Notamacropus eugenii: one gene and its partners. The protein of the gene in region 1 purifies or fractionates together with the protein of each later gene. This does not show direct contact. Links are inferred from orthologs where the notes say so. Each region holds a gene or a part of one and is shown in the gene's direction. Other genes may lie near its edges.

Region 1 (7,214 bases):
GGAAGAACCCCAGACCCTCCCCAACCCTCTTCAGGCCTTTCCTCAAATATACACTCAGACCTTTTCCTGCAGTAATGGTCTCACAAGCTCTTAGCAACTGCTCTGGTCCCAGGGCATGAGTCCAGCCCCTTGTTTGTTTCCGGCGCTTCTTCAAGACTGAAAATAGAAGGGGAGAGGTGAAGGGACAGTGAGGGCCAGATCCTGTCTCTTCCTCCTGCTCCACCCATCATCCTTGACCTCTGTTTGCTACCTCCATTCCATAAAGCCCCTGTAACTGTGTCCCTCAGAGGGCTTCATATGTTCTCCCATATATCCCTATGTTTTCCAAATTTCACTCACCAGTCTTTGGATCCTGTGGGGTTTGGGGGTCCCGAGGGAAAGATGTGAAAAGAACAAGGTGGAGCCGGGGGTAGTGCAGGCGAAAGTGATACTTCCAGGCTATGGCAAGAGCTGGGGGAGCCAGGTCTACTTTGTTCAGCACTAGTATCAGTGACAGCCCTAGTTCCCCTGTCACATACTCATAAAGGGCTGGAGGAAAGTTGATGACCTGCGGGGGATGGGGGAAAGAGGGTATGAAGAAGTAGGAATGAGAATAAGTTACCTAGGAACCTTCAATTCCTCTCTCTCTGATCTACTAGGAATGATTTTACAGGTATCAACTTCTGTAGTTGTAAGATAGTATAAAACCAAATAAGTAAAAGATATGCAAAGAACAAAAGAAATCCCAAAAGAACACTTGAGAGAAAGAAATACATGGTATTCTGGGGGAGGAAAGGCTAGTTTGTCAGCAACAGAGAATAAGAGAGAGACATCTGAGGATAGGAAAAGTGAAACAGGAAGACCAGGTAAACTGGATAAACAGCAGAGGCAGGATGGAGGATAGAAAAGTTCTTATTTCTTACCAAAAGAGAAACCTATAAATAAGCCCTTACTCTTAAACTGGAAAGAAGTTACAACTGGAGAAGTGCTGCTGTTTAATTCACAGCAGTCTGAAAAGTCAGAGCAGGGGAGAAAGTGTTGGGAAGGAAGGAAGGGATGTGAACAGAGGGTCCCCAAGAGTTACTTAGCTGGTTCCTAGAGAAGCACTTGAATTTGTTCCACCCTTCAAAGCTACAAAAGGTAGTTGGACTGGCTGAGAAAGTAGCTGTTAAATAGAAAAAGACTAGAGTCCTGTCTTATGGAATTCAGGTTTAAAAAGTGAGGAAAAAATCTTTTCCTAACCCCTCCCCCCAACTCTTGCCTTTTAATTTTCACCAACCCATTGCCCCATTTGCTTGGTTTCTCTCACTTACTGGATGGCGTATGTCTGTGATGAGGAGGACAATATCAGACATCTCTAGCACCCTCCACAACTGTCGCCAGGTCTAAAAGAAAATAGGTGAGGAAAATCTGACCCTTATGCTGCTAGATCAGTGGTAATTTGCAACCATGCACCAGCAACTCCACAAAGGTCCATGTGTCACTCCCCCTTCTTCAGGGACAGTCCAACTCTTCAGGTGGATGATATAATACCCTGCTCTTATCTCACCTCCAGATTGTGTTCAAAGTAGCTGAGCTGCTCAGAGGTATAGGACCCATGGATCTTCCCCAGATACTCTTGGAAGCTCCGTTCCTCCTGGCTCATCAATTGCTCCCTGGACATCTCATAGTTCCAAGGGGGCCGACGGGGAAAATCTAGGTCTGAGAAAGTAAAGAAGAAGGGAAGCATGGGTGCTCTCAGCACCACTTTTGGCCAGCTGTCTCCCTTCTCCCATCTTCTACTCCCCTGCATCTCAATCCTTACTGGAGCCTGGATGGTAGATGTCTCCAATGTCAAGCTCCAGAGACTTCTCACTGACTGGTTTCAGCACTTGTTCTCGGGCAGCCCTCTTTCTCCGTTCCACCTCTTCCCGGCTTTCTCTTTCAAAGTGTAATCGGTATCTGGGGAGATGATGACCCAAGTATTCAACTTAGTACAGAGTGTCCACAAGGCATCATTTTCCGGATTCCCCTTCAAAATTATAGGCATGTTTTCTCGGTAAGGATCCCGGTATCTTAATCTTCTGCTTGTCTCCAAAGTCCCCTTTTCTACAAATAAAATCTTTCTTCTCCACCCTCTCCCAATAAATCCGAACAAATTGCCTCAGGATAACTAAGGAATCCAAAGTCCTTCCTACAGAGTTTTTATCTCAGTTTATCTTGAGCCTTCTACTTCACTGGCCTCCACCTACGCGCTACCCTCCTTTACTGCCAAGAAAGACAATGAGGGAAAATCCCAAGTGCCGCGTTCCCCACCCTTACCTATTGGGGTCAAAGCGAAGGCCAGAGCCGTGGGTTGGCTGCTGGTTGAGACGCCGGATCTGCTGGGTCACAGATTCTCCATCAGAGGTGTCCGTCTGGTCCTCCCTCCGCTCCCGGCTCCCGCTGCGGCTGTTGGAGCTGGAGCGTAACCCATCCTGCAGCCCTGCAGGCAGGCACATGACGCCCAGCTCTCAGACACGGGCGCCCGCGTCTGACTCGTCCAGCTCTCCCCTGGTAACCCAGCTTCTGCCCCCACATCGACCCAAGTGTTCTGCCTCTGGACCCAGTTTCTCTGTCCTTCTCCACACCCAGAACAGAAGCCTCCCAGGACCAGAAGGGAGAAGCCAGTTCTTTCCCATCTCCAGCATCCATTTCGTCAGATACGGGGCCCCCTCTTCTTCCAACTAAAGGGATCCTCCTCTTCTCCAGATTCGGACAAGGGCTCTCCGTCCACTCCCTCCTCTTCCAGATGAGGGGGAGGTGGGAGGTTCTTTCTTCTTTCTCCTTTCGATGGGAAACGGCTGGCTTTGCCCGCCACCTTCCACCCTGGCCCCAGATGTAGAGTTCATCCCTGTCTCCAGATGTACAGGAGACTCAGGCCCCGCCCCCCTCCGCTCCCTCCCTCCCTTACCTCGTTTCCTCTCGCGCTTGTCCTGCAGCTGTTTCTTCTTCTGCTTCACGCTGAAAGGCTTCTTCCTCGGCATGGCCCGGCCTGGCTCCCGTGGATCTCTAGCCCTCTGCGGGCTCCAGCCGCCGTCGTTTCGCTTCTACCGACACCCCCCCCGCCCCGGGCTACCCCAGCCGCGTAGGGCCCGGGACCCTTGGGGGCGGGGCTCCGACGTGACGTCACGCGGAGGGTCAGACCAAGTCTCTCCTCCTCGGGGAGGGGGGAGTGCGTTGTGGGTAGGGGAACACAGAAAGGGCCACCGATGTAATTTGGGTGGGGAAGTTCAATCACTTCCCTCCAGTAGTACAAGAGTGTGTGTGAGGCTGAAGAAAGTGCAAGGACAGAGAGACGCGCGACGTGCCGGCCACACGCCAGTCCCTCAGGAGTCCCGGGGAGGGAGGGGGGCGGTTCTTGGGGGTGTGGAAGAGGGAGCCGCGCCGGAGCGCCGACCGACGGTACTGACTTCGTCACGGGCGATACCAATTCCCATTCGGAGAAAGGGGGCGAGGGAACCATCCTTACCTTTCGTTCCTGGAGAGACTCTACCCACTCACCTGGTGGGGTGAATGGACTCTACCACTTGTGAGGTGGGGAAGAGCATAAAGCTAAACTAAAGTGACCTGGACGAGCAAGGAGGCTGAACAAAGCTGAAAGGAAAGGGGGGGAGGGGAGAGAGGAAAGAATGATGAAGTACTAGGTTGCCCTGGAGATCCCTTCAGAGAAGGTCAGAGGTCATGTTCAGAGGAGCCACGAGACACCGCACCTAGTGGAAGTTAAAAAAAACCCCAAAACTTGGGTGGGAGTAGGCCACATAATCGCGATGTTTAAAAGGTTGTAATTAAGAGGCACTGAGACTGAGATGGTCTAAGGATGCTGGGGGGGAGGTCAGAGGTCATGAAGCGGCGGCGTGGGCTGTGGGAGGTTACCGAGGTTACCACGCTGCTTGACTTCTTTCTCCCCCCTGTCCCAACGCTCTGGACCGCGGTCCTCTCCACTCTAGGCTACGCCTCCAAGTGATGTCGGTTTTTTTTTCCCTTAGGTAGGAGGGGGGAAGGGGGTGAGGAGGAAGGGAGGGTTGGAGTGTGAGCTTACATTGGAACGCTACACGGTGGGAAAGGCACGCGCCTGCGCACTCGCCGCTTCTGGATGGGTCTGCCGGAAGCGGAAATAATCGGATTCTCTCTCCCTCCATATACCGCCCCCTGCTCCCACCGGCCCGACTCTGATCGTTGCTATTACGCTGGCTGTGATGCCCAAGAGGGGGAAGCAGCGGCCACCGGACCCCGAGGAGAGTGGGGATGAGGAGAGTGGGAGCCCCGCTGGTAAGGGAGAGTTGCATGCGCCTGAGGAAGGCCTGGCACAGGGGCACGAGACAAATAAAGATCCCTCGGGCGTGGAGGGAGAAGGCGAGATTAGTGCTGCCCGAAAGGGAAAGAACCCGTTGCATCTTCCCGTAGAATAGCGCGAGGCGAGGCTTGGCGAGAGCAGAATTCCCCTTCCTTTTTTAAGGACTGCAGGGCAGGGAGAGCTAGAAGTATAAGCGCGCACATGCGCCGACCCGGGTGCTGTGGCGCGCCCGCGAACGGGAGGAAGGGAGGGGGAGGCCGATGCACGTGCCTTGGGGGAATAGGGGAGTGGTGCGTCCGGAGCATCGGCCGGGAAAAGTCCATGAGAGCGCCGGCCTAAAGATGTTGCCCAGAGCCTCTGACGTAGACGAATAAAAGCAGTTTGCCCGGGCAACTGCATCCTCTTTCTCCCTCGCCTTCCCACTCCTACCCATTGTAATTGGGAGAGAATTTGTAAAAGCCAGTTTTCCTACCCTTCCCCCATTGTCTCTTCTGGTCCTCTTTGTCAGCCCCAAGGGTGAGACAGATCCAGAATAAAATAAAGTTTGGTAGTTCAAGATGATGGGAATGAGAAGAGCTAGTAATGAATGAGCTTTGTATGAGGAGTCGGGAGTTCTAACCCGTGCTGTTGACTACCTGCAAATTTGTGCAGAAAGGTCTCATTTGCCTCATCTGTGTTGGATTGTGTAGGGAGTGGGCTAAATGATTTCCCACACTTCATATCAATGCAAATGTTTCTAGACCTCTCCCAACTGAAATGAGGACTAGGGGATGGCGAAGAGAGAAGTCCATCAAATTAGATGAGAGTTAGGAGAAGGTTGCTAGGAATTCCCAGGAAGGCCAGAGATTTATAAGGAAGGGTTCGTTTTGGGACTTGGGTAGATCTGCTTACTTTGGAGGGTGAGTCGTCTTCTTCAGCTCTGGTGGCCCCACACCCCATTAATCGAGGGCCTAGGAGGAAGAATTTTGTCACAGGTTTGCCACCTGTCATTTTGTCTGTCTCTCTCCCCTTCACATCTTGTTTGGGGTACTTGTCCAGTAACTCAGTCAGTGTCATCAGGGCTGCTTTGGGCTTGACAGTCTTACTGACTGTCTAAATCAAAAACTTCCTTCCCTAGCTACTACTCCCCATGTGTTTGGTATCCATAGTTCCTGTGGCATGAAAAGCATTTCTTAAATTTTGGCTAATGGATGATAACAAAAGGAGACTCATACTAAGGAAAACATGTTGAGGTCTCTTTGCTTTATTGTCAGCCTTCCTTTGATTGAAGGCTGTGCCATTTGGTACCTTTGGTTTTTCTCGTTTCTTTTTCGACATCTTGATAACAGATTTTGCTTTTTTGGATTCTACTAAAGCATGATACATTTTGCTTCAGGCCATCATTTTGATTCTGTATGTATCCACAGAAAGTAAACATCTGAAGGGCGGAGACTTTTTCATCTAGTCTTTATACTATGGATAATTCCTTTCACATAGATAGTAGTAGGCCCTTAAGTGCTTGCTAGTAGTAGAGGGAAAATAAGATTTGAACTGTTTGTATAACCATGTGCTATTGAGTTGTAGGTGTAGTAGCACAAAGAAAGGAGAACTCAGTAAAAATAGTACTGAGTTGTTGTGTAAACTGGACTTTACTAAGTTAGACCTTGCTACGTTTTGCTTAACCTATTTCTTCCTGTTCTCTTAGGTCCACCCAGCCTCCTGGGCCCTCCACCCATAGCCAATGGGAAGTTTGGTGGCCCTGATCCAGGTGAGTGGAAAGGGTCTAAAAGGACAGGTGTCTAGATTGATTTGGATTAACACATTAAGTGCATATTACATGCAAGGCACTTCAGCATTTCCTGTAGGAAAGAGGTTTGGGGGATTGGGAGAAGTGGGGAATGAGACTCAAGAAGAAAAATAATTTCTGGGTTTTCCTGGATTCAATTGATTATCTTTCATTGTCTTTCTTTAGGCTTCCACAGAGGCCCTCAGAGTTTAAGGGGACCAGTGATTCCCCCACTCCTGAGCCTTCCACTTCCTTTCTGGGGAGGATGCCCAATGAGAGGGGGCCCAGGACCCAGGCCTAGACCATACCCACATAGCCGTTGGGCCTATGAGGATCCAGAACCTAGGTGGGGAACAGGCTATGGGGACCATGCCAGGAATGGTCCTCCCAATGGATGGAGAAACCTTGGAGGGGGCAATAGTCACCATCCATCTAAGAACATCCCCTGGCCCAAGAACGCCCCTCAATTCAAGGATGGAGTCCAGGAAGGTGATAGAACAGGTTAGTGCCATCACCCTGTATATTTTATTCCTGTTAGTAGCACATAATTACATCCAGAAGTACAAATCCCAGAAGCCCTTCTGTCTTTACCTTGAAGGTACCTCTCAATTTTCCTCTCTCAAAACATTATCCTAGGATGCTGAAGACTATAGCAGTTATTAAACTGTTTCCCTTCAGGATCCCAGAGGTGTCCTAGTTTTTGTCTTCCCAAAGTCTTACACTGCCTTTTTCTCACTTCCACAGATAAATCCAACCGCCCTGTCTGCAGACATTTCTCAAAGGGCCACTGTCGCTATGAGGATCTTTGTGCCTTCTACCACCCAGGAGTGAATGGACCTCCATTGTAAAACTGTGCCTTCCACCAGTCAGGCTCCAGTGGACCTTTTCTATCCTGGAAGCCCATTGCCCTATTGTTCTTCGTTGGCTTCTCTGAGGTGTTTGTGCCCAGCATCTCTGGCCAAGGAAGGAGCCTGAGCCTGATCCTCTCCCTCCCTCACCTGGGGCTCTGGGAGAATGGGTGGGGGGAGGAGTGTCAGAGGAGGTTTTTTTTTTTTTTTTAATAATGTTTTATTGATACTTTTGGTTTTTATGCCACTGTCACTTCCCAGTAACGCCCTCCCCCAACTCTGGCTTGTAACAAAGAAAATCACTTAC
Region 2 (7,681 bases), on another chromosome or scaffold:
AGATGGGCTTATTTTCTCTGTCTAGGAGCCCTTTAACCCGAGACACTATCTGGAATAATAGCACTTTTTCTATATCTTTATATTTTGTGGATATATACTACATCATGGCATGTTAGAAAACACAGATGTCCTGGGTCATAATTTCAGTTGACACTTTGTCAATTCCCTTATCTCATTGTATTTACCACTTATTCAATTAAGAAAGTTCCTTTCTCATAATATGGTTAATTATATATGGAGATCATAAATGTGAGTGACACAGACATGCTGAGTTGAGATTGTTCTAAAATGTATTTAAGCCTGGTCATTCTTGTCTCAAACAGTCAGAACTTACATTTTGTCTCTTTGTACATACAAGCTCATTAGCTTAGACTAACTTTAAGGGAATAAACTATAAATTTACATATCACCTAATTTGTTTGCCTCCTTTAACCAAACTTTCAGGTCAAGAGGAGGCAGAGTCAAAAATGACTTACTTAAGTGACTAGAAGCATAGTGATACTCCTGTCAAAATAAGGAAGTTCAGGAGAGAAATGCATCCTGGGACGAAGATAGTAAATTTTGTTTTGGGGACATAGGATAATAGGTTGGGAGTTGAAAGGAACCTCACAGATTATCTTATCCAACTCCTTCACTTAACAGAAGAATAAATAGAGGCTTCAAAACATCATGTGACTTGCCAGAAACCACAGAGGCATCATCCCTGGTGGTATTTTGAGAAAGACCTTACTAAGTCCCAGGTCTCAGTTCTCTATTCATGATACCACCTTGTTGCTGTCTGGTTGTTGAGCTGTGTCCCTCTTCCTGACCGGATGGATGATATCATGACAACATTGTCCATGGGGGTTGTTGGTAAAGATACCAGAGTGGTTTGTAATTTCCGTTTCCAGTATTACACCACCTAGCTGCCTTCAAAATCAGAGTTCAAAATACCTTTGGGTGTCCCCTTACCCTAGCTGTGCCCATTCAAAGCAAACTCAACTGCATACTGGAGATCGTTGCCTGCCTGGCCTCCTGGTGAAATGTTAAAATCTTCCAATACTTTGCTAGATAGAAGAGGAATCAGGAAATCTGGGTCCTGAACCTGTTATCCTTTCTATTAATCCAGTTTCCTCTTCCTCTTGTAAGACAGTGAGTTCCTTTCACTTTTTTTAAAGGAGGTAGGGGCCAGTAAGGTCCCTAAGGTGGAATGGGTCTGGACCCTGTGATTTTACATATTTTACACCAGGAAACTCTGGGTATGAAACATCCTCCTACCCCCTAGCAGATCTGCAACTCATCTGAATTCTTCAAGAGAGTTGCCTGAGGCATCCGAGGTTAGATGGCTTGCCAGTGGTTTGAGCTAGAATGTATCCAAGATGAAATTGATTCATTCTATCTCAAATGAGAGATTGTGTGCAAAACATTTTATGAACCTTGGAGGTTTATATACAAACTAATGTTCTCATACTGCTTAATAAATGTAGAATCGAAAAAATGGAAACAAAACCTGCCTATTCTCTGTCACAGTTGTTTTGAGAATCAAGTAACATTTTTTTTTCAGGAGGAAGAGATGATAAGAATAATTGTTTCATTTTACAGATAGGGAAACTGAAGTCTTGAAAGGATTCTGGGGATGGAAGCCAAAGACAAATTGCAAACCATTGTCCTTAGTGGAGAGAGGTCAACAGATATGGATTGAATCCCCTGCCCTGTGTGACTTTGGGCTAGTGACCTAACCTCTCTGGGACTCATTTTCCTTCCTGAAGACTACATGGTTTCCAAGGTCACTTCCCCTGCCCTTTTTTTTTTTTTAATTTTTATCTTGTTTTTTAATTAACCAGCATTACTTTTTCTCTATCCTGTCCGAAAAATAGTTAAAAAAAAAAAACAACAACCCTCCTAAGTATCTATGGTGAAGCAAAACAAATTCCCATGTCTAAAAATTTATCTATTCTACATTTTGAAGCCTCTCTGTCAAGACATTGGTAGCATGCTTCATCATCAGTTCTCTGGAATCAGTTTTCATTGCCTTGATGTTGTTATTTTGTAAATTGGCTTCTGCTCACTTCACTTCATCAGTTTATACAAATCTTCTTAGGTTTCTCTGAAACCCTAGAATGTCCCTCAGGGTGAAATGATATTCCATTATATTCATATACCATAATTTGTTAGCCATTTCTCTAATTGATGGGCAGCTAGGTGGCACAGTGGGTAGAGTGCTGGGCCTGGAGTCATCTTCCTGAGTTCAAATCTGGTGTCAGACATTTAGTGGCTGTGTGATCCTGGGCAAATCATTTAGCCCTGGTTGCCTCAGTTTCCTCATCTGTAAAAGGATTTGGAGAAGGAAATGGCAAATCACTCCAGTATCTCTGCCAAGAAAACCCCAAATGGGGTCACAAATAGTTGAACATAGTAATTGATGGGCACCCCTCTCCCCCTAGTTTCTAGTCCTTTGCCTCTACAAAAAAAGAGCCACCATAAATATATTTACACATTTACAGCCACTAACTCCTGCTTTGATTTCTTTGAGTGTATAGGCCTAGTAGTGATATAGCTGGGTCAATCAATCAACATTTAAGTGCCTACTATGTAACCCAGCTCACACTCTCCCTTCTGTCTCCCTCTTCTTTTCCTTTGGGTTTAGTGGCCAGATGTCTCTCCCTTCCTCCCTTCCTTCCTTCCTACCTTCCTTCCTTCCTTCCTTTTCTGCCAAACCTTAAACCCAGTGCATTTGGAAGCCCATAGGTTCCACAACAATAGGTCCCTGCCCAAGCTCCACTTAATGGTGGGCTTAAGAGTGATTATCAATAGTAACAGGTTCTGTTTCCCTCCCAGTTACTTTTTCTTTCCCTCATTACAAGGGTCATTCCCTGACCACTTCTTAAAGAGGCCTATCTACTCAATGGGTCTTACCTCCCCCCAAGTAAATACTGAAAAGGCCCAGCCTAAAAAAGTCAAGGTCTCCCATTGTATACTGGGCTGTCTCCAGTCATCCGGATGAATCACTGGATTCAGATGGCTCTGGAGGAGAAGTGAGGCTGGTGACCTGCACAGTCCTCCCTCACTCAAAACAAAGTCAAGTGCAAGTCATGTCATCATTTCTCTGATGGCGTGGTCTTCTTGGAAAACGAAGGATGAACACAGTGCTAGAAGGAGAAAGAAATGGCAAACCAGTCCAGCATCTTTGATAAGAAACTTTAAATGGGATCATGAAGAGCTGGCTAAGACTGAAACTACAGAAAAACAAATATGCTCCAAGAATTGTGCTAGATATACAAAACAAGGCAAAAGCCCAGCCTGCCCTCAAGAAACCAACAATCTAACAAGAAAACATATATATGTATGTATGTATGTATGTATGTATGTATGTATGTATGTGTATATATGTATATGTGTGTATATATGTATATGTGTGTATATATGTATATATGTGTGTATATATGTATATGTGTGTGTATATATGTATATGTGTGTATATATACGTATATATATGTGTGTATATATGTATATGTGTGTATATATGTATATGTGTGTATATATACGTATATATATGTGTATATATACGTATATATATGTGTGTATATATGTATATGTGTGTATATATGTATATGTGTGTATATATGTATATGTGTGTATATATACGTATATGTGTGTATATATGTATATGTGTGTATATATGTATATGTGTGTATATATACGTATATATATGTGTGTATATATGTATATGTGTGTATATATATACATATATATGTGTGTATATATGTATATGTGTGTATATATATACGTATATATACGTATATATATGTGTGTATATATGTATATGTGTGTATATATACGTATATATGTGTGTGTATATATGTATATGTGTGTATATATGTATATGTGTGTATATATATACGTATATATGTGTGTATATATGTATATGTGTGTATATATGTATATGCGTGTATATATACGTATATATATGTGTGTATATATGTATATGTGTGTATATATACGTATATATGTGTGTATATATGTATATGTGTGTATATATGTATATGTGTGTATATATATGTATATATATGTGTGTATATATGTATATGTGTGTATATATACGTATATATGTGTGTATATATATATGTGTGTATATATGTATATGTGTGTATATATACATATATATGTGTGTGTGTATACACACACACACACACACACACACACACACACACACACACAGCAAGTATATCACGGTGAGGTCATTTTGGTCCTCTTCGAGAACCAAGGACAACAACCAACCAATAAGTAATGAGCAGAAGGAAGGCACTGGAATGAAGAAGCTTGGGAAAGGCTTCCTGCACGGTTAGAACTTAAAGGCAGCCCCCCAGGGGGCCTGTTTTCCCCTCCTCCCTGGGCCCGGGTGCATTCCTGAGTGTTCGTCCCGCCCCCAGCCCTTCACGCTCCTCCCTCCCCTCCCTTCCTCGTCAGTTTCCACCTGGAGTTTAGGCACCGCCCCTTCTCCTCCTCCCACCCCCTCCAGGCGGCTCTCGCGAGATCTGGAGGCGGAAGTCTCGTGCGCTCCGGGGCCAGCACCGCCCGCACGTGCGTGGTCTCCGCGGCTGTTGTGTCTGCCGCGGCCGCCGGGGCTGCGGGTCTGAGAGCCGGCGCCATGGGGAGGCTGCGGCGGCGATACAACGTCAAAGGGCGGCAGCAGCCGCAGCCGCCGGCGGGGTCCGAGCCGGAGCGGCCGGGGGTGCAGGTGCAGCTGGAGCTGGACGGTAAGGGCCTTCCCTTCTCCGAACCTCGGGCTTCCAGGAGCAGCCCTCCCCTCCCAGCCTCCGGTTGTTCAATCATGATTAATGGGTTAAAAAAAAAGGCCTCTCTAACCAGCAGCCACCCAGCCTCGGCTTACCCCGCTTCCCTTCTCCGGGCCTCCGTTTACTGACCTGCAGAATGGGGCTCCGGAGCCCGTGTCCCGAGGCTGGCCTCAGGCTGCTCCTCTGTGAGATGGGGGTGCGGATGCTCAGCTGTCTGTCCTGCCTGGAGGGGTGGGGGTGGGGGGTGAGGGCTGTCGGTATTTGCTATCAGCTCCTTGTGACCCTGGACCAGTCCCCTCTCCGAGCCACCCTGACCATCCCAGTGACCACTTAGGTGTCCACACGGCTTTGGGCTCCCAGAATCACGAATTCTCAGAGTTGGAGGAGATCCTGGGATCGTAGCTTTAGATCTAGAAGACGTCTTAGAGGTCATGGATCCAGCCCTGTCATTTGACAGATGAGGAAACTGAGGCCAGAGAGGTGAGGTGGGCTTGCCCAGAATACAGAAGTGGCCCTGCTGGGGTTTGAATCTAAGTCCTGAGGCCAGATCTGATATTCTTTAGGCTGTCAGCATGGGATGTCTTTTGGCTTTCCTTGTATTCCCCAATACCTGGTACATAGTAGGCACTTAAATGGTAGTTAATTGACTAAAGGACTTTCCATTGAGCCCCGGTGCCCCCCCCCCATCCCAGTTAGTTCAGGAATCTCTTTGTACAACATACAAGACCGGCTCTGAGCAGCCTCTACCATGAGGCACTCACAGTTTTCCCCCTTTTTAAGCCCAGATGTTTGTCTCTGCATCTTTCTCTCATTCCTTCCAGGACCAGACAAAACAAGTCTTCCTTCATTCCCCTCCTAAACAACCTTGGAGGTTTGCTGTCACAAATCCCTTCATTACTGTCTCTCCCCCTTCCTCTCTTCTCCCCCTAGTCTTTTCTCCTTGTTCAACAGAATCTTTTGCCTCCCCTAGGTCCAAGATTCTGGTCTGAACATTGTCCCAGCCCCTCTTCCTGTGGTCACCACTGTCCCCAAAGTGAGGTACCTAGAATGGACCACCTTGCTCTAGATCAGCCTCACCAGACAGAGAACAGAGATCGTTCTCCTCTATCAGTTTGTGGTCCTGGCCTCATAAGGTAGCCTGAGATGGCCATCCTGGAGTGCTGATCAGCCTCACACAGCTGGCTTGACTGTGCACCTATACACCCTGAAAATCTCATTTTGTCTTACTCAAATTGTTCTCCTAATATTTTTCCCTGTCCCATACTTGTGTGAGGGTTATTTCTGAACCTGAAGCCTGTATTTGAAGATGTATGTATATTTGTATGCATATTTGCATACATGTATACATGTGCCTGCATATATGAGGGCGTGTATTGTGCATACTGTACAGATGCATACACATGTATATACACATGCACATGTGTGCTTGCATATATTATATGTGTGCGTATATACACACATGTCTCAGCAGATAGGTCACTGGGCCTGGAGTCAGGAAGACCTGAGTTCATGTCCACCATCAGACACTAGCTGTGTGAGCCTGGACAAGTCACTTTAACCTGTTTGCTCCGTTTCCTCATCCTTCAAATCAGCTGGAAAAGGAAATGGCAAAACACTCCAGAATCTTTGCCAAGAAAATCCCAAATGGGGTTATGAAGAATCAGACACAGACTGAAACAATAGCAGAAGAATGTATACACACAGATAGGTGCTTTTGTATATGTATGGAGGTAGCGCAGTGGATGGAATGCTGGGTTTGAAAAGGCTGAGTCCAAATCTGGCCTCTGACACAGTAGCTGTGCGACTGAGCACACCATTTAACCTCTGCCTACCTCAGTTTCTTCAGGTGTAAATGAGGATAATGAAAGCACCTGCATCCCAGAATTGTGAGGATCAGATGAGATCCTTGTGAAGGGCTGTGCAAACCTTAAGGCTCTGTGTTATAAAGGTGAATGAGGTGCACTGATCTCAGAGGTCACAATCAATCCACAGAAATTTATTAAGCACCTACTATGTGCCATGCCAAGTACTGGGTTACGCAAAAAGCAGCCCCCTGCCCTCAAGCTGCTCTTAGTTGAAGTCCTAAAAATGGTGATGTTCTGAGGGGCTGTTGTCCTAGAGAGGCTATTGAAGGCTTCCTCCTTCCTAAGGGCAATGTGGCAAAGCTACAACTTCTTCCCCCTTTCCCAGAATCCTCTCCACCTTACGTGCCTTAGGGATCCTCCACCTAGAGCTGGTAGGGCCCATTTATGGATGAAGGGCTGATACTAGAGGGACCCAAGGGTAAATGGGTAGGAGGCGTCAGAGGTGGGATTCCTCCCATTAATGGCCCCCAGGTGAGCCCAGCCCTTCAGCAAATCCCAAGTCCCCAAGTCCTCCTAAGTGTGTGGTGTCTCCCAGCTCACCCCTCTCCTTTTTTCCATGAGCTGCTTTATCTGAGGCTTTGCCAAAGTCTAGGTCAACCCCAGCTCCAGCATTCCCTTGGTCTCTCTGCCCAGTTAGTTGCTCCATCAAAACAAGAAAATAAGGTTGTCCTGGTATAATTGGATGATTGATTTTTCTCATATAAAATCCTTCCTGATATTCACGTCTTTGCTGTCTGCATGCTTGGGCTCCTGGGGCAACACTGGACTCTGGCTCTTCTCATCCTGTGCCTGTTCATGCTGGCCCGCTCGATCTTGGAGATCTCTGTGGTCTGGGAGGACTCAGGCATGGGTGTCCTTCCAGACAGGGGCCTTTGGAAAGGAGTGGATGAGAGCAACGTGCTTGTCCTGCCTGGACGGAAGGAGAAGAAGAAGAAGGCCACACCCACTGTCAAGAAGGAGAAGAAACCCCTGACCAAGAAGGAGAAGAAGCTCCTCCAGAAGGTGTTGGAGCAAAAGAAAAAAAAGACCGAGGTATGGGCC
Region 3 (7,239 bases), on another chromosome or scaffold:
CACCTAATCACACACACACACACACACACACACACACACACTCACACTCCTTTGTCAAAAACTTTTTTCTCTTCTCTGAACATTCTCTAGTTTATCCACATTCCTCTTAAAATATGGATCCTCAGAAGATTAATTATAGTATAGAATATGGGTGCATAAATATTGGAGAATTACTAGAGTATGAATTGTTTCTGCAGGTAAAATGTTATGAGGGTTTATGTTATGCCGCTTCCAGGGGAGTGTGGATCTGATCAGTCCCTATCCGGACTTCTCCATGCAAAGAGATGTAGAGGTCACCCCCTGAGACTTGGAGACCTCATTTTATCATCATCATCAATAAATATTTATTGAACATTTACTACGTACTATGCACTGTGTGCAGTGCTTAGTGTTAAATATACACTTGGTATGTCTTTGATCCATGACCAAGTAAGAAGGGTATTTTTCTCAGAGCAGTGAAATAGACAATGCCCCAGGCTGGGAGCCAGGGGCACATGGATTTAGGTCTAAAATTTCCCGTGGAGATATTGCATTATTCTAGGCAAAGACTTTTCTCCCTTTGTTGCTCAGTTGTTTCAGTCATATCCAACTCCTCATGGTTCCATTTGGGGTTTTCTTGGCAAAGATACTGGAGTGGTTTTCCATTTCCTTCTCCAGCTCATTTCATAGATGAGGAAACTGAGGCAAACAAGGTGAAGTGACTTGCCTAAGGTCACACAGCTAGGAAGGGTCTGAGGATGGATTTGAACTCAGCTCTTCATGACTCCAGACCTAGCACTCTATTCAATGCATCACCTAGCTGCCCATCTTATAGCTACCCCATCCTCAGCCCTTTTTCTCTGCTTCATTTGCCCCAGCTATGATGTTGGTGGGGAAAAGATCCCATACCACTCTTCTTAGTACCAGATCAGTATGAGAACTAGGGTGGCAATCTTCATCCTTCTTGAGTCCTCTGCAACCTTTGACGCTGCCCATCCCCTTTTTCTCCTTGATACCCTCTGCTCTCTAGTTTTTCTTGATATTGCTAACTTGGTGATCTTATGGTTCTCCTACTCACCTGACCATTATTTTTCAACCTCATTTGCTGGATCTTCATTCCATGTTATATACACTAACCAGGGGTATCCCCTAAGGCTCTATCCTTGGCTCTTTTCTGTTTTCACTCTATACACTTTCATTTGGTGATCTCATCAGCTCCCATGGATTCAATTATCATCTCTGTATTGATGATTCCCAGATCTACTTATCCAGCCCTAATCTCTCTCCTAACCTGCAGTCTTGCATCTCCAAGGATAATACTATCCTTCCAGTTATTCACACTCACAATCCTAGGGAACCCTCCATACTTAATCTGTTTGCCAAATATTGTCAATTCTACCTTCATAACACCTTTCATATATCCCCCTTCTGTCCTCCAACACTGCCACCATCTTGATACAGGCATTTAACACTTCCCTCTTGGACTATTGACATAGCCTACTGCATGATCTCCCTGCTTTAAGTCTCTCCCCACTCCAGTCCATTCTCCACTCAGCTATCCAATTGATCTTCCTAAAACACAGGTATGACCATGCCATTCTCTCTCTTTCAATAAACTGACTCCCTATCCTGTCCAGGATCAAGTATAAAATCATCTATTTGACTTTCAAAACCCTTCATAACCTAGACCTTTCCTATTTTTCCAATCTCTTTATTCCTTACTCCCCTCCAGGTACTCCTCAATCCAGTGAGACTGCCTTCCATGATGTTCTTCTCACAAGACAGTCTGTCTCCTGACTCCAGGCATTTTCATGGGTTGTCCCCCAAGCGTGGAATACTCTTCTCTACATCTCTGTCCTGTGACTTCCTTCAAGTTCCAGCTAAAATTCCACCTTCTATGAGAAGGCTTTTCCAATTCCTCTTAATACCTTAGTGCTTCACCCCTGTTGATCATCTCCAATTTATTCTGTTTATATCTTCTTTTGGCACATAGTGGTTTACATGTTGTCTCCCCAGCTCCTTGAGTAGGAACCATTTTTGCCTTTGTATCCCCAGTCTTTAGCACATATTGGGCACTTAATACATGCTTGTTCACTAACAGAAGCAAGAAACAAGAAAGCAGAGGGTCTTCACAGATCATTTTTTTCAATCTCATCATTTTACAGATGAGGAAACTGAATCAGTAATGGAAGTGACTAACAAAAGGATGTCCCGGTAGTAATAAAGTCCAAAGTCCTATGGTGCACTTTTCATTGCAAGCAGGATGGTTGGTGCCTTCCATTAAAATCCCTACTTAACAGTTACAATGCCTACACTTTAGTTCAGTACACTCCTCTATGTCCTTCAATCACATGCCATTTTTTTCCTAACTCTCCCTGGAACTGCATTCTCCCTCCTTTGCAATGAGAAAAATGAGGAAGGGGAGGATTTGAAATCACTGAGTGCTAAACTATGAAGTTAACACCTACCTCAGAGAAGAAACCCTTGGGCAAGTTACTTAACTTTACCTATACTCAAGATTCCTCTTTTCAAAATAAGTGTGACTCATCCTATCTCACAATTCCTGCAACACTCAAAGGTGATAAGTGCATATGAGAAGACTTTACAAATTCAATTCTTTATTATTACTCTTTTTTTCCAATTAACAACTAGATGCTGACTTCACCTTTCCTCTAAAAAACAGCCTCTGAGAGACTCTTTGTTGTCACACTGGATATTTTTAATTAGTATCATTTTTTTCATAGGTGCTCTTGAAAATTTTTTTTTTCTTTTTAAGGGGAAGCTCATCTTTGCTTCTGTATATCCACTTGGGTCATCTTTTCATATAGTTAGCCAATTAAAAAGCTTTGATCTGCATACTCATGATACAGTAATAAAAGTTTTATAGAAACAATGTTTTTTCTCAGTTGGAAAGCAAAAGTTAATAAACCCAGATTTGACAATGATGAAGTATTCTATCCAATTACAATATTGGCCAAGTGGAAAAATAAAAGAAATAAATTTGCAGCATGGAATTATTTGAGTAAAACATACTAAAATTCCATCCTTGAAAGACCAACAGAAGGGTGCATTTTCTAATCTTTATGTGGGGATTTTATACATTTATAACTTTATTACTATGTAACTGAAGTTATGTTTATAAATCCTCACGTTTCAAAACAGCTCAGAACGTGCCTCAAAAACGTGAACTGAAAAATAAGACTAACACATTAATCTTTGGCACTGGACATACTAAACTAAGTAGACTTATATATAGGATGAAGACCAGTCTTTGGGAAACATGAAATTTCTATTTGGGACCATTTCTAACTATGTAAATCCAGATTTCCAGATTTTATTTAAAAGCCAGTTCTAAACAAAAGTATATGCAGTCTTTTTTAAAGAGAAATGTTTTTCCTAGTAGGGTTTTTTATATTTCAGTTGTGATAAATACACTTAAAATTTGGTCTTAAAGGTAAAATGTTTACAAGACCACCTAGTTTTATCAAATATTTTTCCCTTCCCAAACCAAACCAAATTAACTTGTACTAATTAAAACTAACCACGTGCTTTCTTGCTAATTAGGCAATCATTTTTGGTTTGGACAGGATGACTCAGGGGCCACTGTTTTAAAACAGCATTCTGGTGATTCTACAGCATTTGCAAGGGAGTACCGTTTTGTTATACAATCTGTTCATGTAAAACTTCAGAAGAGATGCTGGATGACGTCATCCTGAATGTAACGAACAAACCAATACTGTAACCGCAGAGGTTTTAAAAAAAAAAAAAAAACACTCCTGCAAGAAACTGACACAGGGCCAAAGACTGCCTCCCCCTGAGACCCTCGCGCACGCTGCGCTTTCTTCCCATTGGCTAAATCTGACACGTGTCCATCTTCTCACCAGGGAAAACATTCTTGCGTCACCATAAATTTACATAGAGACCGCCGATTGGCCCCTAGAAATCATCGTCCTGTCCCGATTGGTTGATGACGTGTCCAGCTCTTCTGGAGGATGTGGAAGAGTTAGGTAACCCCGGAGGGTCACGGGCGTCTCCAATTCCGCTTCCGGTTCGCCTCAGGAGTCATGGCGGCCACCAGAAGGCTGAGGCCGCTGCCGTGGGTGGGAAGGTGGAGCTGCTCGCCGGCGGGAACCCCGTTGTTCCGGGTGAGAACTTTGGTCCGCTCCTGAAAACAGCCTTGCTCGGTCGCGTCGGGAAGGCCTTTGAGGGGGAGCCCACCCGCCCCATCCCCACGCGTGTCTGTGATCGCACACGACACAGTCCTAGAGGGACGGAGACAGGAAGAGCGAGGCAGAGGATGGGATAGAAAAGAAAAAGGGAAGATGAAAGCGGGGGGGAGGGCGGGGAGAGAGAAAGGAGAGTGGGAGTCTGGGAATCAAATATGCAAATATATGTAGATGCGTTCTCCACGTGTACGAGGCCAGAGGGGCCGAACGAGGCCAGAGCCTGCGGCTGCACCCAGTCTGATCCAGGCTGTCCGGGCTTCCTGGGCCCAGAGAAGCAGCCCCCAGTCAGAATCCATCAGCCCTGCTCATTCCAGGCGTTCTCACCCACAGCGAGGCCTTCTCGGACCCAGGGCAGTCACTTGTTGAGCATGTGGGGTGGGCCGAATCCTTGGGCAGCTGTGCATCAACCTTTGGGGGGAGAACCCCACTCCCCAACCCAAGAGAACCCCCCATCCCTGGAGGAGACGTCTGTCCTGAAGCAGATTTAGAAGGAGGTCTTAGAGGATATCTACCTCAAGCCACTGGCTTCACGTTTGAGGTGCCAGCCTTTGGGGGGACAACCCCACTCCCCAAGCCAAGAGAACCCCCCATCCCTGGAGGAGACATCTGTCCTGAAGCAGATTTAGAAGGAGGTCTTAGAGGATATCTACCTCAAGCCACTGGCTTCACGTTTGAGGTGCCAGCCTTTGGGGGGACAACCCCACTCCCCAAGCCAAGACAACCCCCCATCCCTGGAGGAGACGCCTGTCCTGAAGCAGATTTAGAAGGAGGTCTTAGAGGATATCTACCTCAAGCCACTGGCTTCACGTTTGAGGTGCCAGCCTTTGGGGGGACAACCCCACTCCCCAAGCCAAGAGAACCCCCCATCCCTGGAGGAGATGCCTGTCCTGAAGCAGATTTAGAAGGAGGTCTTAGAGGATATCTACCTCAAACCACTGGCTTTACAAAGAGTTTGTAGGTAATAAAGGACAGGTGTGGGATCCCTTCTACCTTGCCATGCTGCCATCCTCCAGAACGTGCCTCTGGACTAGCAGTTTAAGAAGTCTCAGTCTGTGCTGTGCCGAGCTTTTGTCAAATGAAATAATGCACATAAAACATTCCTCAAAATCCTAAAGTATCATAAAAAGTGAGCTGTTATTACCCAGATTTCCTCCTTCGCCAACTTAACCTCATTCGGTTTTCCTCTTTCTGGACCTCAGACGCTTGCCGACCTTGGTCCCAGAGTGTCCCAGGAGAATGATATATTGGATTTCCTGGGGAAGAGAGCCCACCGCAAACATCCAGGGGTCCTCCATTTGTCCCAAGTGCAGCTGCCACAAGCCCTGGTCACTGCAGCCCAGAGGCTCTTGCAGGGTGAGCAACTCTCTTGATCAAGAAAATAAGCAGAGAAAAGAAAGGAATTTTCATTTCACTGATAGCCCCTTTTCATGTCTGACCCACAGAAAGCTCTCTGCCCAACATAGAGAAGCAAGTTCAGACACTCACCAACTACCTCTGGAGTCGGAAGCTTCCTATGGAACCTGAGGAGCTGCGCAGAAAAGCAGTAGAGCTGGAAAATAAACTCCAGGATACAGGTAAAGGCTTAGATGAGCCGAAGGAAGAAGCCAGGTTGGACTGATTCAGAGAGCAAAGATTCAACTTTACAGACAGATATTTAATCTTCCAATATGTCTTTGGTGAAATCAGTCATAAATAACGCTTTACAGCCAGAAGTTAGATGTATCTGTAAAATGGGAATTATTTAATACCCATATGACTTATTACAAGTATTCAGTCTGAAGACCTAATGAGAAATATATGTGCAGAACACTTGGTAATTGATAAACACATTACTATACTAGTATCATACATCTTTGATTCTGTTGTACATCACATACCAGGGGATGCCTGGATATCCAGACCTTTCTCTCTTCCTTTAGAATGATCTGGATCAGGAATGATCAGGAAATGTGTTGAACCTTCCCAGGTTGTACTGAAGAATGAAATCCCACCCACACACATTCCTCTGTCACACCCATGACTTAACCTAGATTTGAACTAGCTTCCAGTAGTGTTTTCGCACAGTTATGACATTCTTGATTTCCCAGCACACTTTCCTTCAGGACAAATGCAGAAAGAAGTATCAGTGATTTCAGACTTGAGTTATGATCTGCCACACATTGTTACTTGCCTCAGTGTTGATGAACAGCTATTTCTTTTAATTAATTAATGAGTTGATTTTGTGAGCGTTAGCTCTCCCATACCTCACACTCCATTATGGAGTTTTTTTTTTTAAATCCTCATGATGGCCATGCAGAGTCCAGCAAAACAGATTCCCACATTGACCAAAGCCAAAAATGTACATCTCATTTACGTTTTAAGTCCATCAGTTCTGGCAGGAGATAAGTGATATGTTTCATCTCTTCTTCTTTGGACTCACAGTTTATCATTTTGTCAGAACTCTAAAGTCTTTCAGAGTTATTTTTCTATACAGTGTTCTTGTCATATAAATCTTTCTAGTTTTGCCCACATTACTCTGCATCAATTCGTAGAGCTTTTCCCAGTTTCCTCTAAAACTGTCCATTTGGTTATTTCTTACAGCACAATAATATTCCATTACATTCATATGCTATACTTTGTTTATTGCTGTTGTTAACCATGTCTGACCCTTGTGACCTCATTTAGGATTTTCTTGACAAAGATACTAGAGTGGTTTACCATTTCTTTCTCCAGCTTATTTTACAGATAAGGAACTGAGACAAATTGGGTTAAGTGACTTGCCCAAGTTCACACAACTAGTAGAGCGTCTGAGACCAGACTTGAACTCAGGAAGATGAGTCTTCCTGACTTCAGGCCTGGCACTTTATCCGCTGCACCACCTAGCAGCTCATTATTTATTTAACTATTCTCTAAATAGCTAAATAAATTTTAGCTATTTAACATAGCTAAATAAATTGTCATCCCTCTAGTTTGTTTGAGACTATGTGTAGCTATTTCTGAGGCTACTTGTAAGTAACTTTGCAGACTGCACTAGACTCCACAGACCCAGGGCTGA
Region 4 (8,295 bases), about 4.9 Mb from region 1:
AGTAGTTACAATACCTCTGGAAGGCACATGGACTTTAATGCTCACTTATGTGTGGTACAGAAACCCTTACCCAAATTAAAGTTAACACTTTACTTGACATTCAAGGCAGAAAGTAGAAAAGAATTTTATTACAATCTCAAGAGAAAGGGCCACTCCAATCCGACCAGCAGTCAGGGAGAAGCAGCTTACAGAAGGCAAAAGTGTGGTTATATACTTCTAACACGGAAACTCCCCCAAACCACCCCCCCCAACAGCTGACCCTTTTCCCCCCATTGACTGGGGGTCAGGCTTACAATCTAAACACGGAAAACTAATCCCCTTACACGGAACAAGGAAACAGAAGTTCAGCCAATACAGATTTCAAGCAAAATTCATAATCGTTTTTGGATTGCGTGGGCTGAGGTGGCACTTGGGTCTTGGGTTTCATAAATTTCGGGTTTCTATTAATCATGTCACTTTAGGGAAAAGGAAACTTAGACCTGCTTAATCTGGCCATGTTACTAAGAAGTATTCACCTATCCCACTCACCTATCTTCCTCCAGTGCCCTAGTAAAGGGAAGATCCTATGGCAGAGAGATTATTTGCATGTGTATGTTTGTCCTTTGCTGCCAAAGAAGACCATGCCATCAGAGAAATGATGACATGACTTGCACTTGACTTTGTTTTGACTGAGGGAAGGATGTGCAGATCACCAGCCTCACTTCTCCTCCAGAGCCATCTGAATCCTGTGAGCAGATATTCATCAGGATGACTGGAGATGACCCAGGATGAGGCAATTGAGGTTAAGTGACTTGGCCAAGGTCGCACAGCTAGTGAGTGTCAAGTGTCTGAGGTGAGATTTGAACTCACCTGCTCTATCCTGCTCTATCCACTGCACCACCTAACTGCCCCACTAGTGCATGTAACTCTTCAGTTAAAAAGGAAATTTCTAACATCTCTTTCCTCCTTTCCTAAAATGAAAAGATGTATTAATATTGACTTTTTGGATTAGATATTCATTTACTGATACCAAGATTTAATTACTCCCAAAACAATTCTTCAAAATTATTTCTTATTAACTGTCATATCATTAACAATTTTATAAACTGACAAACTCACTGTGAGACCTTGTGGAACAAGTCACGCCCCCTCGGTGAGCCTAAGTCTCCTCCTTCCTTACGCTAGATTATTGCTGAAGTCTCTTCCAGCTCTGACATTCCATAGGTTTGTTTCTATGAAAACCAGTACCCCAGAATTCTCAAATACGAGAAGAAGTTTAGGTCTGCAGGAACACCTACGCTTACACACAGGAAGAGGATTCAGTGCTTCCTTCGCTCATAGACCTATTTGGGCAGACTTGGGATTTAGAAGTTGTTGCATATTTTTGAGGTAATGGCAGGAAAGAGGAATGGTGCAGGGGCCCAGCTGCCAATTTCAGTCTCCCGAGTAAGGATTTTCCTGATCAAGTAGTACAGTCAATGTGGTGTCAGTACAGGTAGCCCTTGCACCATGGGCATTTGGGACTGTTTACATGTCAGAATGAAAAGCCTTTAGTTCCTGGAGGTATAACAGATGCAGCCAGACTTTGGAATCAGGAAATTTTTTTGTTTCTGGTCATACTCAGCATCTGTGTAACTGTGGGTAAGTCAATAATAATAAGGCTCTCTGAGCCTTATTTCATCATCTGTAAAGTGGGCCTATCTTAAGGGTTGTGGCATGTCTCAAATGTATGGGCAACACTCCCTCTGGCCATTTCCCCAATTCTCATTTATATTGGCCAGCTGAATTCCCGGAGTGACTATCTACCACTTTCAGTGTCTTAGGGGTAGCTGTGAGGAAGTGAGTTTCTAGCTCAGGAGCCCCCACTGATGTGCTTCCCATTGATAATCCTCTAATGTCCTCAAAATAATTTTTAATGAAGGTATTTACTATGATGGTATAGACTTGAAATACAGTGGCAAGAATGGTAGCTGGGGAAAAAAAATCCCCCCCCCCCCACCTCTGGGTATACTCCCCAACAAAAACACACAAGATTGATGGATAGAGCAGGTAGAAATGTAAAGCACAAAGGGTGTGAGGCACACATGGCAAAGGGGTAATTCAAGATTCCTGGTTAGTAGTAGTCTGGTTCTTCTTTCAAAGAATCTTCACGAAGTTCTCTTGAGGAGTAGCAGCATCTGTTGGGCTTGGAAGGTCAGTGACTTATAGAATTAATAGCTGGTCAGTTCTCTCTGCCATGAGAGTTTTATGGTCTTTGATGCCTCCCTGCCATATGTACTCTCTGCTACTGGCCTAGTAGCTGGATAAACTCTATTATTGATCCAATAACATCTTTACAATACCATGGTTAATAGGTAGCGCAATTCCCTCTTACAGGTTTGGATAAAACTTGAATCCACAGGATTGTAACTCTTCTACAACTAGGGTCCCAGGTATATTTCTATTTCTATAAACACAGGTTTTTCCAGTGTGATGTCATTTATCTGTCTTCATCCAATGATCAGTCCTACAATTCTTTCAAATTGATTAATATACCTATAGTTTACACTTGTGATTGAATGATTCAGTCTAATAGTCTACTCCTTCTAAGACTGCATACTAATATATGTAAATCACTTTGAAAACTTTAAAGGGCTATATGTTATAGTTATTATTTCTGTCTCTGGAGAATTAGGTCACAGAGGATAGATGCAACAAGAAAACTCCTTCCCCCCTAAATTACCACTAATCCAAGTAGTGCTGAGCCAGTGTCTCCATCCTGTACAGCGTGATCTGCTCAGCTGTTAAGGCTTTCAAGTCAGGATGGCAGAGGAGGAGGGCGATACGGATGAGGGAGATGTGTTCTTGGCATTTGCCCAGGGACCTACTCCTCCCAGGGGCCCCTTTCTTCGGGCACTAGATAGGGCCTTTTTCATTTTTCTTGCCCTCTTCCTGGCAGTGCTGATGCTAGAGGCTGCCTACAAGTTGCTGTGGCCAATACCCTGGGCAAACCTCTGGGGCTGGCTGCTTGGAACACCTCAAAGAGAAGAGGAACTGGAGCTGTAATCACTGAATGACTCCTCCCTCTCAACTCAGGTGAGAAACAGGACCAGAGATTGAGGTTTCCTGGGAGGAATCATGTGAGACGGTGGTAAAGGAGTAGAGAATAACAGGAAAGGAAGAGAGAAGAGGGAGCTCACAGTGAACGGCTCCCATTGCTTCTGTAAGATATCAGACAAGTTTCTGACAAGGTGGGGGGAGGGGAGGGCCATGGGAGGCTCCAAAGATGAAAAAGTTTGGAAGAGCCCTGGGTGGAGGGCTGACAGCTGGGAGCCCCTCATGGAAGGGGAGCTAATAATAATAACTAGTATTTACAGAGAACTTGGAGGTTTACAAAGTGCTTTGCAAATATTATCTCATTTGTTCCTGATTATACCCCTGGGAGGTGAGAGGTTCTATTACGGCCCCTATTTTAAGTAGGAAGAAATTAAGGCAGGCAGGTTTTAAACAGCTTGCCCACGAGTGTGCGGGGCAGGACTTGAACTCAGGCCCAGCATTCGGTCCTCTGCGACACCCAGCTTCCTCGGATGATCTAGTTCACCTGCTACTTTATAAAGGAGGAAACTGAGTCCCAAAGAGGGGAAGACATTCGAGCTGAAGCAGAACTAGAGCCCAGGGCTCCTCCGTAGCTAGGACACTTGAAGAAAGAGGGGGACATACCCAGGCTCCGTGGGAGGTAGGAGGGGGCGCCCCCGCTGCCCCAGTCTTGTTAACCCTGCTTTCTCCCCCGCCAGGGACCAGAACACGCGCCAGGACCAGTCCTGTGTCCCCCCGGCCTCCCCACTCCCCCCAATAAAGCTGGGGTTCTGTGAGAAGCGTCAGCCTCCGCTCCTTTCCTCTTCTCTCCCCCCCACTCGCCCAGGCAGAAAGAGGCCATTGGTTTTTTAAAAGCCTCGTTTCCAGTCTTGGACTCTGGACGCCCTTCACCTTCCCCATCATCACTAAGTGCTCAGGGTCCACCGGCCATTCCCACAGGGCGGTCCCCTCCAGCCCCGGGACCCCCAGATGAAGAGAGAGTCTGAAGCAAGAGCTCCCCGCCCCCACCCCGCAAGGCGAGACGGGCGCATCCCCACGCCCTGGAGGCCGCCATCTTGCGGTACGGCAGGTAAGCCGCAGCGCCGGGTGTGCGGGGCCAGCTCTCCCGTCCCTGGGTTGCCACGGTGACCTTTGAGGGCACTGACGCTGAGTCGGCGTTTTGCTCTTCGGCCCCCAAGGTTCGAGATCGCTACTGTTTACATGACTCTCCTGAGCGGTGGAGAGAATGATTACTTACGCGCACACATTCCGTACGGAGAGGAATAATCCCGATTCACAGAACCCGCAGCCCCCAGGCCGGTTCTTGGGGCTCCAAGAGGCGGTTTGGAAGGTCGGAGTGGCCTGGGCACGCACCAGAGGTGGAGGCAGGGTCAGACAGCAATATAAGCCTTGGAAGAAAACTTTCCCTTCGTAGCTCGCCTAAGTCCTTCTGGCAGGCCTGGGACAGACGGTTCCTCCCCGCAATGGACCGAACGGTCCACTACAGTGATCTCCCCGCCCCCCTCCATGCACCCTCCCACCCGCCAATACTAGTTTGGGAGCGCTATTGGGCAAACGATAGGGAGAGCAGAGGGACGCCGGTGTCTGATTGGTGGAGCAAGGGTTCCATCTCGTGACCACGGGTTGGCAAATCCCCGGAGGTATATCCATTCCCCACTGCCTGGCCTCGATTAGATTGGGTTCCCTCAGTCTTGAGGAATGCCGTACGGCAAGATGGCCCCCCCTTTCCCCTCAAGGACTTCCGAGTCCTCAGGCCTCAGAGAAGCCCTCCCCTCTGAGGCATTTGGTCGGAGTGGGCCAATGAAACCACCGGGAGACTTGCAGTCCGTCTCCCGCAGAGGGATCCAGCAGGTAGTTTGTGTGTCGTCACTTCCTATATCCCTCGGTTGACTCCATTAGGGTGGGATGGCGGCGCCCAGGGACGTACGGGGCGGGGCTGAGACATGATCGCTTCCGTTCCTGCGCGTTGTCTGACGCGGGAGGGGGGGCGGAGAGTGTGAGAGAGAGGGAGAGGGAGAGCTGAGGGTGACGGAGCGGGGGGCAAGGGGGAGGGGGGAGGGACGGACAGCGACGGTGGAGGCGGCGGCCGCGGCGTAGGGACTGTTTCTGAGGTGGGGGCCTCACGAGGCAGGCGGGAGGAGGGAAGAGTCTGAGGGGAGGACCCGGTGACAAGGCTGGGGTGGGGAGAGGGGGAAGGCGGCCGGAGACTCTCCCTTGAGGAGGAAGCGCGTGCGCGCACGGGGGCGCGCGCGCATGTATATATATATGTGTGTGTGTGTATGTGTATGGGAGTGAGTGCGAGAATGGGGGGGCGGGGGCCCAGAAGCGCCTACGGGGGGGCTTGGCTAGGGGCTTCTGCGGTCCGGCGAGGGGGCCGTGAGCGGGGACCATGAGGACAGGAGGAAGCGTCCGCCGGGCCCGTGCCCAAGGAAAGCCCCGGGACTGCTGCGCTGCTGACAGCCCCGAAGGGAGAGGCGAGGACAGACAGGCAGACAGAGAGGCTGGGTGAATGAAGATTTGAGGAGCGGAGCAGAGAGAATCGGTCTTTAACGGGTGTGAGATGGGCCGCACGGAGGGCAAGGATGGCAGCCCTGCTGGTGCCTGACACAGGGCTGATGTTTTAAGAAAGAATAAGATCCTGGTGGCTGGCAGCAGAGAAGATGGGACCGGAAGTGGAGGGGAGAGGATTGAGGGTTGGAGCCAAATGGGTGGGACTTTAGAGTTTTGGGGTGGGGAGGAGGTTGGGGGCCTTGGAGAAAGCTTGTGGAGTCAGCCTTGTCTCAGAGGACTAGACACTCTCACGACAGGGAGGTCAGACCGAGAAATCCTTGGGTAGGCAATGAGCAGGGGAGGGGGGAGCAGGCATCTATTGAGTAACGTGAGACTGATGCTATAAGGTGTGAGAATGGGGGGGATGTCCTGGAGGGGCTGTCTCTGAGGCCCCATCCCCCCCAGCAGGATTCCTGAAATCCCCAACACCCCCACCAGGGGCTTCGCTCCCCCCATGGCTGCCGCTAACAGCATTATCGTACTGGATGATGAGGAGGAGGATGAAGCAGCTGCCCAGCCAGGGCCTTCCTCTCCACCCCCAAATCAGGCCCAACCCCTGGCAGCAACCTCTGATTCTCCCCAGTCCAGTGGGGAAGGCAGCAGCAGTAGTGGGGGCAGCAAGAAATGCTACCAGCTGGAGAATGAGAAGCTGTTTGAAGAGGTGAGCTGCAGGGGAGAAGGTTCTTATGCACCAGGGAGGGGGAGCCAAAGAAGCTGTCCTTAATCACTTTGTCCTACTAACTCTATCTTTCTGTTTTTCTCAACCTTCTCCCTTGTTTCATTTCCTCCAATCCCTCGGACTTCCCCCTTCACCCTCCCCTGCTCCACCCCAGTTTCTTGATCTGTGTAAGAAGCAAACTGGAGAACACCCTGAGGTCGTCCCATACCTCTGTAACCGAAGGCAACGTGCTCGTCCTACGTTCCTGGCCTCAGCTGAGCTCCGAAATGTGCTGTCTCGTGTCCTCTCTCGTGCCCAAACCCGGCCTACCAAGCTCTATGTCTTCATTAATGAGCTTTGTACACTGCTCAAAGCGCACTCGATCAAAAGGAAGGTGCCCCTGACCCCTGCTTCCACTGAGCCCCCTGGGGATGCACCTCCTGCCAATCCTTCCTCCAACCCTGCCCCTACCAATGAAACTGCTCCTGGCTCCCCACGACCCCGAGGTTCACGGAGACAGATCCAGCGCTTAGAGCAGCTGCTGGCATTGTACGTGGGAGAGATAAAACGACTACAAGAAAAGGAGCTGGACCTATCGGAGCTAGATGACCCGGACTCTGCATATTTGCAGGAGGGGCGGCTGAAACGCAAGCTGCTAGGACTCTTTGGGCGTCTGTGTGAGTTAAAAGCATGTAGCTCCCTGACAGGCCGTGTGACTGAGCAACGGATACCCTATCGGGGCACTCGATACCCAGAGGTCAACCGCCGTGTGGAGCGTCTCATCAATAGGCCTGGTCCAGACACCTTTCCTGACTATGGGGATGTCCTTCGGGCTGTGGAGAAGGCAGCCACGAGACATGGCCTCTGCCTCCCAAGGCGACAGCTCCAGCTTCTCGCTCAGGATGCCTTTCGAGATGTTGGCACCAAGTTACAGGAGCGGCGCCATCTTGATCTTGTCTACAACTTTGGCTGTCACCTCACAGATGACTATAGGCCAGGTACAGGGAGTGGGGCCACACACACTAGACCTGTGGGGAGGGTGTTACTCCTTAGGCTTTGGAGCTAGGCGTTCTGGTTCCATGTCTTCACACTGCACACCTCCCTCCTACCTCAGGCATTGACCCTGCATTGTCAGACCCTGTCCTGGCTCGTAGGCTTCGGGAGAACAGAAACTTGGCACTCAGTCGGCTGGATGAAGTGATCTCTAAATATGCAATGATGCAAGATGAGAGTGAAGAGGGTGAGAGACAGAGAAGGAGAGCCCGGTTTTGCCAAGGAAACTCTCCTCACAATGAAGACCTTCCAACAGCATCCACAGACTCGGGAGAGGTATGGAGGCAGGACAGGGGATGCCAATGTCAGATCAGATATTTCTGAAGGACTGAATCCTGCCCAGGTCTTATACAGGGAATCTGTGGGGAAGAGAGTAACTGGTTGTGGGAGGTGAAATACTCAGGAGAATAAAGATTTAGGAGAATGGTTTCATTAAAGGCCTTCCCTCTCTTGCAGGGCCCTAGTGGAGAAAAGTCCACATCCTGCCCCACTGTCTCCAAAGTTGAGACAGATGAAGAGGAGGAGGAGGAGGAGGAGGATGAAGATGAAGATGATGATGATGATGATGAAGATGAAGAGGAGGAAGAGGATGAAGATGAAGATGAGGAGCTCACCGATTCAGAGGAAGAGATGGAAGAGAGCCAGGAGGGCCCAGGGGAGGAAGATGAGCCAGGTATTATGTGAGGATGCCATTCCCAAGTACCATTCCCAAGTTGTTTTCTCCCTCCATATTCAGTTTCCCATCTTGCACTCCCATTTTCTTCCTACTGTTAACCACTTTCCATACTAACCCTGCCTCCTGTTTGTTTTTTACAACTTTCAGGTAAGAAATATGTAGCTTCTCAATCTCCATTGCAGAGGACTGCTGAGCAGGATCTGGAGCCTGAACAAGGGAGCAACAGCAGCAGCTCTTCAGTGGAGGATGACGAAGCAGGAATGTCAGGGTCGTACTCCCTACCTCAAAGGAAGAAACCTGTTCC

The links.
Region 2: the proteins of PRR3 (region 1) and DHX37 purify together in Homo sapiens (co-immunoprecipitation; 3 studies listed by BioGRID and IntAct, with this or other methods). This does not show direct contact. The link is inferred for Notamacropus eugenii from reciprocal best matches to the Homo sapiens genes PRR3 and DHX37.
Region 3: the proteins of PRR3 (region 1) and METTL17 purify together in Homo sapiens (co-immunoprecipitation; 3 studies listed by BioGRID and IntAct, with this or other methods). This does not show direct contact. The link is inferred for Notamacropus eugenii from reciprocal best matches to the Homo sapiens genes PRR3 and METTL17.
Region 4: the proteins of PRR3 (region 1) and DAXX purify together in Homo sapiens (co-immunoprecipitation; 3 studies listed by BioGRID and IntAct, with this or other methods). This does not show direct contact. The link is inferred for Notamacropus eugenii from reciprocal best matches to the Homo sapiens genes PRR3 and DAXX.

The regions. Positions count from the first base shown.
Region 1 is NC_092873.1:84,447,676-84,454,889, forward strand, and holds the start of PRR3 (proline-rich protein 3), read left to right. Parts: upstream 1-3,962; 5' UTR 3,963-4,196; coding exon 4,197-4,269; intron 4,270-5,978; coding exon 5,979-6,041; intron 6,042-6,245; coding exon 6,246-6,560; intron 6,561-6,803; coding exon 6,804-6,907; 3' UTR 6,908-7,214. Other genes in the region: GNL1 (guanine nucleotide-binding protein-like 1), read right to left, coding at 61-156, 340-547, 1,293-1,364, 1,529-1,680, 1,784-1,920, 2,281-2,443, 2,912-2,984.
Region 2 is NC_092875.1:40,533,915-40,541,595, reverse strand, and holds the start of DHX37 (probable ATP-dependent RNA helicase DHX37), read left to right. Parts: upstream 1-4,521; 5' UTR 4,522-4,627; coding exon 4,628-4,736; intron 4,737-7,502; coding exon 7,503-7,672; intron 7,673-7,681. UniProt on the Homo sapiens protein: ATP-binding RNA helicase that plays a role in maturation of the small ribosomal subunit in ribosome biogenesis. Required for the release of the U3 snoRNP from pre-ribosomal particles.
Region 3 is NC_092878.1:12,958,599-12,965,837, reverse strand, and holds the start of METTL17 (ribosome assembly protein METTL17, mitochondrial), read left to right. Parts: upstream 1-3,987; 5' UTR 3,988-4,043; coding exon 4,044-4,124; intron 4,125-5,404; coding exon 5,405-5,558; intron 5,559-5,647; coding exon 5,648-5,779; intron 5,780-7,239. UniProt on the Homo sapiens protein: Mitochondrial ribosome (mitoribosome) assembly factor. Binds at the interface of the head and body domains of the mitochondrial small ribosomal subunit (mt-SSU), occluding the mRNA channel and preventing compaction of the head domain towards the body.
Region 4 is NC_092873.1:89,342,287-89,350,581, reverse strand, and holds the start of DAXX (death domain-associated protein 6), read left to right. Parts: upstream 1-5,074; 5' UTR 5,075-5,165; intron 5,166-6,012; exon of another isoform or gene 6,013-6,042; 5' UTR 6,043-6,058; coding exon 6,059-6,265; intron 6,266-6,437; coding exon 6,438-7,260; intron 7,261-7,376; coding exon 7,377-7,591; intron 7,592-7,771; coding exon 7,772-7,988; intron 7,989-8,138; coding exon 8,139-8,295. Other genes in the region: SMIM40 (small integral membrane protein 40), read left to right, coding at 2,782-3,024. UniProt on the Homo sapiens protein: Transcription corepressor known to repress transcriptional potential of several sumoylated transcription factors. Down-regulates basal and activated transcription.